2 linked regions of the Macaca mulatta genome follow. The protein of the gene in region 2 purifies or fractionates together with the protein of the main gene of each other region. This does not show direct contact. Links are inferred from orthologs where the notes say so. Each region holds a gene or a part of one and is shown on either strand. Other genes may lie near its edges.

Evidence for each region.
Region 1: the proteins of TXN (region 2) and COPS5 purify together in Homo sapiens (affinity purification with western blotting; 3 studies listed by BioGRID and IntAct, with this or other methods). This does not show direct contact. The link is inferred for Macaca mulatta from reciprocal best matches to the Homo sapiens genes TXN and COPS5.

What each region holds. Positions count from the first base shown.
Region 1 is NC_133413.1:77,753,315-77,757,558, forward strand, and holds the start of COPS5 (COP9 signalosome complex subunit 5), read right to left. Parts: upstream 2,917-4,244; 5' UTR 2,784-2,916; coding exon 2,641-2,783; exon of another isoform or gene 2,633-2,640; intron 229-2,632; coding exon 1-228. UniProt on the Homo sapiens protein: Probable protease subunit of the COP9 signalosome complex (CSN), a complex involved in various cellular and developmental processes.
Region 2 is NC_133420.1:48,154,114-48,158,569, forward strand, and holds the start of TXN (thioredoxin), read left to right. Parts: upstream 1-1,555; 5' UTR 1,556-1,659; coding exon 1,660-1,683; intron 1,684-4,456. UniProt on the Homo sapiens protein: Participates in various redox reactions through the reversible oxidation of its active center dithiol to a disulfide and catalyzes dithiol-disulfide exchange reactions.

The sequences.
Region 1 (4,244 bases), on a different chromosome or scaffold from region 2:
GCATTTTCTATGTATGCAGCCATGTATTCATATGCAGCAGCCTGAGCATTTACTCGAGTTTCAGTGCCCTCCACAGGCAAAGCAAAGCTGTCCATAATGATCATGGTTTCACCATCCACCTTTCCTAGCATCAGACCCATCACTTCCAAGTTGCCTCCTGATCTGGCATGCATCACCATCTTCAGTAGAGCCAATGCCGAGATTTTGCAGTACTTAAAGTAATGGTGACTGCAAAACAAAATCACAATGTAATTAAATTTCTTATATAAAGTAAAATTTCAGAAAAGTTTTTATGAAGATAAAGAGTAAGTATTGAAGGAATTTACAGCGATGGAAGGGGAGTGTAGACTATGGGGAGAAAAAGTAGAAAAGGACAGTTTTTGCAGGCTGGAAACAATAAGTATGTTATAGTCCTGCAATGCATCCCCCTTGGGGGAGGGGAAAAGTCTGAAATAGTTTTTTAATATGCTAAATAAGGGAGTAACATGACCAGTTCAATAGACTTTTTCTCCATTAATCTGGAATCACCCAATCTTGGATTCTGACTGCTTGGATGGTTGTGCCTAACTGTTCTGAGGCCTAACCTCTGGCCTAATGGTTAAGAATGTGGGTTCTGACATTCATCTGCTAAGGTTTGAATCTTGACATTGCCATTCCCTAGCTGTGGTATTGGGACAACCATGTAATGTCTATGCCTAGGTTTCCTTTTCTGTAAATAGGGATAGTCATAATTGTTATTAGGATAAAGTAAATGAAATAATGTATATAAAGTGCTTAGCTTAGCACCTTACACATACTAGAACCCTAATAAGTGCTAGCTGTTATCAGCATTATTAACCTGTCTCTTAACCCTACTCTCAAAGAACAGAGTGTTGAAGGGTGGGCTTCCCTGTTATATCAGCCTCAAATTAAAAAGTAGCCATAATATCCTAGTCTTCTATGATCATTATTTCAGAGTTGGTCATCAATGAATTAAACTCTTGAATAAAATTACATTTTGGTCTCATTAGTGCAGCCCAAGACAGCTAGGATGAATATAATTAGAGCCACAATTAGACAGTGAAGCAGGCCGACAGTTTCCAAATATTTAAGAGTACACAAACCTAAAATGCACAACCTGCTACAGAAACAAGCAGACAACCAAGCAACTTAAGCAGCCTTACAGAGCAGTCAGTCAACGTCTCTACAAAGCCTTTTTAGATGTCTGCCCACAGAAAGAATCCAAATTTAATTCCTAAGCTTTGCCAGATTTCAACCAAAAGCTGAAAAATGTGTAGACCTCATGTTGGAAATCAAGACATGAATCGAAATCTTGGCTTCTCCCTTTACTGGAGAAAAGAAGAAAGACAAGTTACTGTGCTCCTATTACATATATTCTAGACGACTCTTTTTATACATTATCTCACCTAATCTCTATGACAATACCAATAGGTAGGTCTTATTTCCATACTATGACAAATGAAGATGGATAAGTAAATTTCCTAAGGTCAGTCAACCAGTTAGTGACAGCTGTGAAGTTTGATCTTAGGTCTGACTATTGCTCAGCTAAGAGTTCACTTATCTCAGTGTGATCATAAATTACATAATGTATTTGCTTGTTTTTTAATTTGTAAAAAAAGGATGGATATACTGTACTGGGTTGTCATAAAGATTAAATGACGTGGAAATCTCTAGCTAGATGCTTCCGCAATTCACCATTGTGGAATCTGAATACTGAGAGACAAGGCTAGCTTTGTAAAAAAAACTGTGAGGCAGTAGAAGTATGTCCTCTTGTTGACTGCAGCTCTCATTTCTATCTAACCATTAGCTTTTGTGCTCCTTTTACTCTCTCTCAAACATAGCCCGTAATAATTATCTTTTCCTGAGAGCAGGAAATCTCTCAGGAGATGCTCTCAGGAAAACATAAATATTATGGGTAAAGATCCCTCGACTTGTCACCACTCCCAGGGAAAAATGGGTATTGTTGAAGGGCAAAAAGTCGTAAGCTCTATTTTTAAAATTTCTGGCTTATAGGAACTGATGGAGTAACATTGTAGAGACCAGGTAGAGCCTCCGTGTGCCTCCGAAATAATTATCAGCAATCAAAAAACTATTATAGACCCAGGCCTCACGCCTGTAATTCCAGCATTTTGGAAGGCCAAGGTGGGAGGATCGCTTGAAGGCAGGAGCTCGGGATCAGCCTGAGCGACATAGCGAGGACCCACCTCTAGTTAAAAAAGAAAATAAAAGAAAATAGCTCATAGCTATTTTTGAGACCTTGAGCTGCTGACTCGATTTCTGAAAACAGCTGCGGTCCCCAGTAAGGGAATAGCTGAAGACCCAAATAAGGTGCATGTCGACACTGGGTTCAAGGCAGGGTGTGCGGCATATATGACAATACGGACGTTCAGAAGTGACAACTTAAATCACCGCTTGTTGTTCTCCCCTTACATCATCCGGGGGTAAATGGATTAAAGCGACAGAAAGGGAAGTCAAAGCCCCAGCGGAGGGCTTAGGCTCTACTTGCAGATCCAAGGCGCATATTCTGTTCCCCTCCCCGTCGGTGAAAGCTCTTCACCCCTTTCACCTCCCTCTCCCTCTGGGTCTCTTAAACTCCCGCCAACCCTTCCCTCCCCTGCGTCTCGCCAGGGACCTCCTCACTCCTTAGTCCAGGGCTTCGCCGCCAGGATTTCTTGCTGCTGTTTCTTGTCGTATTTGTAGATTTCATCGATACTCTGAGCTTCCTGCATATTGTTGGCCAATTCCCAGGTTTTCTGAGCCATACCGCTCCCGGACGCCGCCATTGCAGAGAAAGCGGAGAAGTTGTCGTCTCTACAACCAAGACGCAACTTTACCTCGCTAGGTCTCCGGGTGTGGGCCTTGACCCTCCGCACCACGGGAACAAACTCTTACCTAGACTCTCGGGGCAGCCATGACACCTAGAACCGGAGGTGAACTTGGTAGAGACCATTCAGGGAAGAGACAGGGACCTTTCCGGGACGTGACGATATAAGCAGCAGTTACAGGAATAGGGAGAGACGAATCTTCTTGTGACTTAAATTAGAACATCTTGTCTCGGAAAATTGTATGTGTGAAATAGAACAAACAGAATTATAGGGTATGGGAATGGTATAGTCTTCCATACCGGAAGAAGGGCATGTAACGTTATTCCAGAAACTGTTATTTGCCTTCTCTGCTTGTACTGCGCAGGCTCGGTCTCCGCCATATTAAAGGTAGTTGGAGCCTTAACGGTGGGATGTGGAGGGCAGAAAGTGTTTTTGTGTGGGTCTAGGTACCTTAAATGAGATAAGTTTGTTGAAAGACTAAAGGGTAAGGCCGTCTGTTGTACAACTGAGCTAAAAGTCGTTCTGGAAGCTGGTTGAGAGGAAGATAAACATGGCATTCCAGTTTACTTCAAGATGACTCACTGCACATGCGTAAAAGCTAACGGGCTCGTGGTGGCTTGGCACTTAACTTGCAGATGGGCTTTTTCTATCGATGCCAGGAGGCAGTGGGTACTCCTTGATTGCTATTGTCATGTCTTTTTGGGTGTCGGTAAAAATTAACATCTACATATGCATAATGTGCCATTACTGATCTGAAAATGTCCAGTACTCCGTTCTTATAATAGGTTACAGTTAAATCTTTGGCACTGCTGTGAATTATGTGCCATTACTGTTCTGAAAATGTCCAGTACTCAGTTCTTATAATAGGTTACAGTTAAATCTTTGGTACTCCTGTGAACCGCATTTGTTCCCAAAGCGTAATTAATCTCGGCAACTGGTTTGTTTTCTTCCTACAGTTAATACAATGTTCAATTATTTTTTTAAATTAGTTTACGTGTTTTAGGTTTTCTTTTTTCTCCATCTCATTTCTCTATCCATGCAAGATTTTAAGTTTCAAGACACAGGGAGCAGGTCTGCGTTCCTTGTTTTATCTCCTAGCACCTAGCATAGGTGTTCAAGATTTTTTTTTTTTTCCTTTCCTGAAAAGATAGCATCACAGGCCAGGCGCAGTGGCTCACGCCTGTAATCCCAGCACTTTGGGCAGCCGAGGCGGGCGGATCACTTGAGATCGAGAGTTCGAGACCAGCCTGGCCAACATGGTGAAGTCTCTAAAAAAATACAAAAAAATTAGCCAGTCGTGATGGTGTGCGCCTGTAGACCCAGCTACTCAGGAGGCTGAGGCAGGAGAATCGTTTGAACCCAGGAGGCGGAAGTTGCAGTGATCCTAGATCGCGCCACTCCAGCCTGTGAGACAGAGCC
Region 2 (4,456 bases):
AATTCACCAACAAACAGATAAAGGCCAGGAAGCTAGGATGCAGCTGAACTGAAAACCAGCAGCAGAAAAGCAGGTTATAGATTCTGCTATGGGTGCTCCATACAGCTCCTTCCTCTCTGCCCCAATAACCTCCCTCTCTTTGGGAACGTTGCTGCATTCAGGGCAGTCTGTCTTCCCTCCCTCTAGGGCTGTCTTTAGAATGTGTCCCTTGCCTATATCCATATTCATGCTCCGTGCTCCTCAGCCCCCTAGAAACTTTGCACAATAGGTTCAAAACCTCTGGTTTCCTCCCTTCTTCTGTCTGAAAGAGCAAAAGAAGGAAGCCAGGGGTTCTAGGGGGCAGGCAGGCAGCAATTTCACCACCCCTAGGCAATCACACCTAGTTGCAGCTTCATTGGGAACAGCTCAGCTCTGAAAATACAGACCTGGGACTCTCCCTCCCAGCCTTCCGGCTCTCGTTCCTGTGAGCAGCTTTTCAACCTCCACTTTGAGCCGCTGACAGGCCTTCCTGGCGCCACAAGGTCAGCTAACATACCCACCTTCCACAATCCCCAGCCCTGCCAGACATAACCTGCAACAGGCATTCCTGGATCAATGCAAACTCCGACTTCTGTTCCAGGAGTCTGCCTCCTTTGAAAAAACTCACACAAATTTGCGTGCTGTCCCACTGTAAATGCTGTATAAGATGGCCAGGCCCAATCAGTCCCCGCAAGACACCGAATAAGAACTATCTATGGAGTGTTTACTATGTGCCAAGCACGGTCCTGATCACTTTGCAAGCACTATTAACCCTCAAAATAACACCACCGTGAGATTGAGACCATCATGATTCGCGTTCTACAGAAGGGAACACTGAGACTCTAGGAGGTCAGGACCTTTCTAGGGTCACAACTGCGTAACTAAGCTGCAGAGCTCAATCCGGCGGCACTTCCATCTCACAGGCAGCTGTCTGATGGTCAAGAGCCCAACCAGTCCCCCGGTCGTTTCTACCTCACTAAACCGCTGTGTCAAGCTGGAGCAGCGGGTTCAGCAGTGAAAATGAAAGAACAGAAGGAGGTTAGAGAAAAGAACGGTCACGGTAAATTCTGGAGAGGAGGCAAGGACGTACACACCGAGAAACTTCCTGGTCACCGTTACTCAGCACTTTGTGAGGTTCACGGGGCTGGGGATGGCCAGGGCGTGGCGGGACTTTTCGAGGAATCCAGCCCTGCCTGGGCGGTCCCAGGACTGTCCCCATCTCGAGCGTGGGCGCGTTCGATTCAGGCGCGGCGGACGCATCCCCAGGTGACCTGGGAAAGACCTTGTGTCTCTGGGGGTGACTGTCCGTCTCCCTGCCTCCCACCGTCACGCGCAGTGCTGATCCCCACTTCCAGCTGGGGCGCGAGCTAGGCTTGGAGGCGCAGGAGCCGAAGCCCTGGAGCTCCGCCCCACGCTTGCGCCAGCCCCGCCCCGATCCCGGCTCGCAGGCTCCAGGGGCGGGGCGTGGCCGGGGCGCAGCGGCGGGCGCGGAGGTCCGGGCGGGCGCGCGCGCCCCCGCCACACGCACGCCGGGCGTGCCCGTTTATAAAAGGAGAGCAAGCGGCGACTCAAGCTCGGTTTGGTGCTTTGGATCCGTTTCCATCGGTCCTTACAGCCGCTCCTCAGACCCCAGCAGCAAAGATGGTGAAGCAGATCGAGAGCAAGGTACGCGCTCCCGGGGAAGGCCGGGGCGCCGGCGCCGCGGGCGGCCTCTGTAGCTGGGGAAGGCGGTGGCGGGAGATGCGGAGGCCGCCCTTCTGCATCGCCGGGGGAAAGGGACGCGGCGTCTCGGCCTGGGACTGAGGGAAGCGGCGGCCTGGGCGCGCCCAAGGCGGTGGAGCCTGCCCTGGTGGAAGGGAAGAGAGGGACGAGGGTCCCCTGGAGGGCGGAGTGGCGGTATCCAGCGTTGCCCGCACCCTGTGCCCCGGGGGGTTGCACGCACGCGGGGAGCGCCCGGGAGATGTGAGAGCGCGGGCAGCGTGAGGAGCCCCCACGCTGCCCTTCCTGCACCATCCCGTCCGGGCAGCCCCGACTGGAGGAAGGCGAGGGAATAGAAGGGGTCCGCCCTTGGCCCCCTTCTGTATCCAGATTCAGGCCCTAGGCAAGGATAGAGAGGGCCCCTTGCAGAAGGCACGGGTCGCTGGCCGCCGCTGCCTTTCCGTATGCGAAGTGATCCACCCGCAGCGGGGGTAGTGATCTCCCTTGGGAGCTGGTCTAGGCCGGAGACCCTCAGCTGCTTCCACCCATTCCCGGCCCCAAAGGTGACGCGTGCTGTATCCGCACTAAGGAGGCGGATTGCGGCTGGAGACCCCTTGGCACGTGCAGGTCTGGCCAGGAGGCCAGAGGGCCCCAGGTGACCGCGAGGAAGTGAGGTCCGGGCCGCGCCCACGGGACTCCTGTGGCTCAGTGCGTGTTTCCGGCAGCAGTGGCTTTGGAATGACTCAGTCCCCAAGGTTGGGCCCGGGGGCCCCGGCTGCCCTGCCCGTCCGTGATTCACCCTCAGTCGGTGGGTTTTGCTGGAGCCAGGGTTCCTCCTGGGTGCAGCCGCGCCTTGCTGCCTGCTCGCCGACCTATCGGTATCCCGATCGATGTTTGTCCTTTTAAAAATGCCCAAGGCAAAACAGACTTCCCATGTTTGAAAGTTATTGCAAGCCTAAAACCTTCTAGACTGGGAAACCCAGAGCCTAACACGCAGTGTCTAATGTAGCCATTCCAGAAATATTTGTTAAATGCAGCGTCAGAAAAGTGAGTGGAGGAAATTGATACTGCCCGAACGGTAGAAGACCCCTCGCCAGCGCCTACCCTGCGATGACCCCTCCCCACCCGCGGGAAGCAGGGGAGGGCGGATCCTCGCCCGCCTTGAGTGCCCTGACCTGTTTGGTGCCGGGTGGGCTTCGGAAACAGAAGTGTGTCTGCAATGTGTCCCCGATCCTTTTGTGCCTTTGATTGTTATTGACTCAGTATTTTTTTCCTCGTATGTTGATTGCCACTGTAGTCTTTTATCTTCCTCTTAATCAGTATTTTCTTAGTGGGATTCTCATTTTAGCAGCCCTCATGTGTTGAAAAGATCCTTAGTAGTGAATTGTCTTTCATATACTTTTTTCCAAGCACCTATTGTGTGACAAATTTTAGTCCATTCCTGGGGAAGGGAGTGGGGCTGGGATTCTGTTCTCCAGGGTCTGGCAACCTCAGTATAACCGAACTGCTGAGAACCCCCCGCCACGGAGCCAGAAGACCTTTGAGTGGTCTATGTTAGTTGTCACAGTATCCAGTTACTACAAACAGAAAGTTGATTAGGATTTCTGGAGCACAGTTTAGTCCTCCCAGTTGTCAGAGCATGGTGGCACCTTCCTCTTCTACCAGTGACAAAGGTGTACAAGGGTGACAGGAACTTTAAAAAAAGCACTACAGCCTGGGGCCCACAGGCCCTGATAATCAATCCTCAAAGTAACAATCCAAAGTCATTGATCGAAAGTTACACTAATTTGATTGTTATTTGTTAGTTTGTTTTTTGAGACGGAGTTTTGCTTTTGTTGCCCTGGCTGGAGTGCAGTGGCTTGATCTTGGCCCACTGCAACCTCCACCTCCCGAGTTCAAGCGATTCTCTTGCCTCAGCCTCTTGAGTAGCTGGGATTACAGGCATGCGCCGCCACGCCCGGTAATTTTGTATTTTTAGGAGAGACGGGGTTTCACGATATTGGTCAGGTTTGTCTCGAACTCCTGACTTAAGGTGATCCACCAACCTCGGCTTCCCGAAGTGCTAGGATTACAGGTGTTAGCCACCGCGCCCAGCCTGTTATTTGTAAATGTTGAATATATCTTACGTTTTCATCCTAATGGACTAAATTGGCATCATTGGTCATTGAGAACAATTCTGTTTCTGAGGTAGTCTGTTAGTACGTTAGGGCCGACTGGGATCTATTTCAGAGAGGAATGGAATAATTGATTGTAAATGTGATGAGGAAGAAATAAACTTTAAAAAAAAGAAGAAGAAGAATGACACCTACCATTTATTCAACTCCCATCCACAAGGCACTTGGCTAAATACTTCAGAAACCACTCACACTTACTACCTTCAGAGTAGGTATGTTTAAGCAAAGAGATCTTAGACTCTGCTCCTATTTACCCCAACTACATTGTTTTGCTTCCCCCAGATTATTGGTGTCAGTGATGGAGACATTTATTAATAGTAACTGTTAGTTTCTGTGATTTCTTCTTAGTAATATACTCTTGAATAATTTTCAAGCTGATACCCGTTTGGAAGTATCAGAAGAGAGCTTGTACATGAAGCCTGCACATACCTGGGGTGTAACTCATGTTCATTTAGGCTAAAAGTTACTGTTGCATGCCTCTTTTCAGAATTTTAGGTACTTGTGTTTAAATTTGATTCAGAACTGTTTTGGAAAAGCCTTGAGTATGTTTGAAATACCTTCCCTCT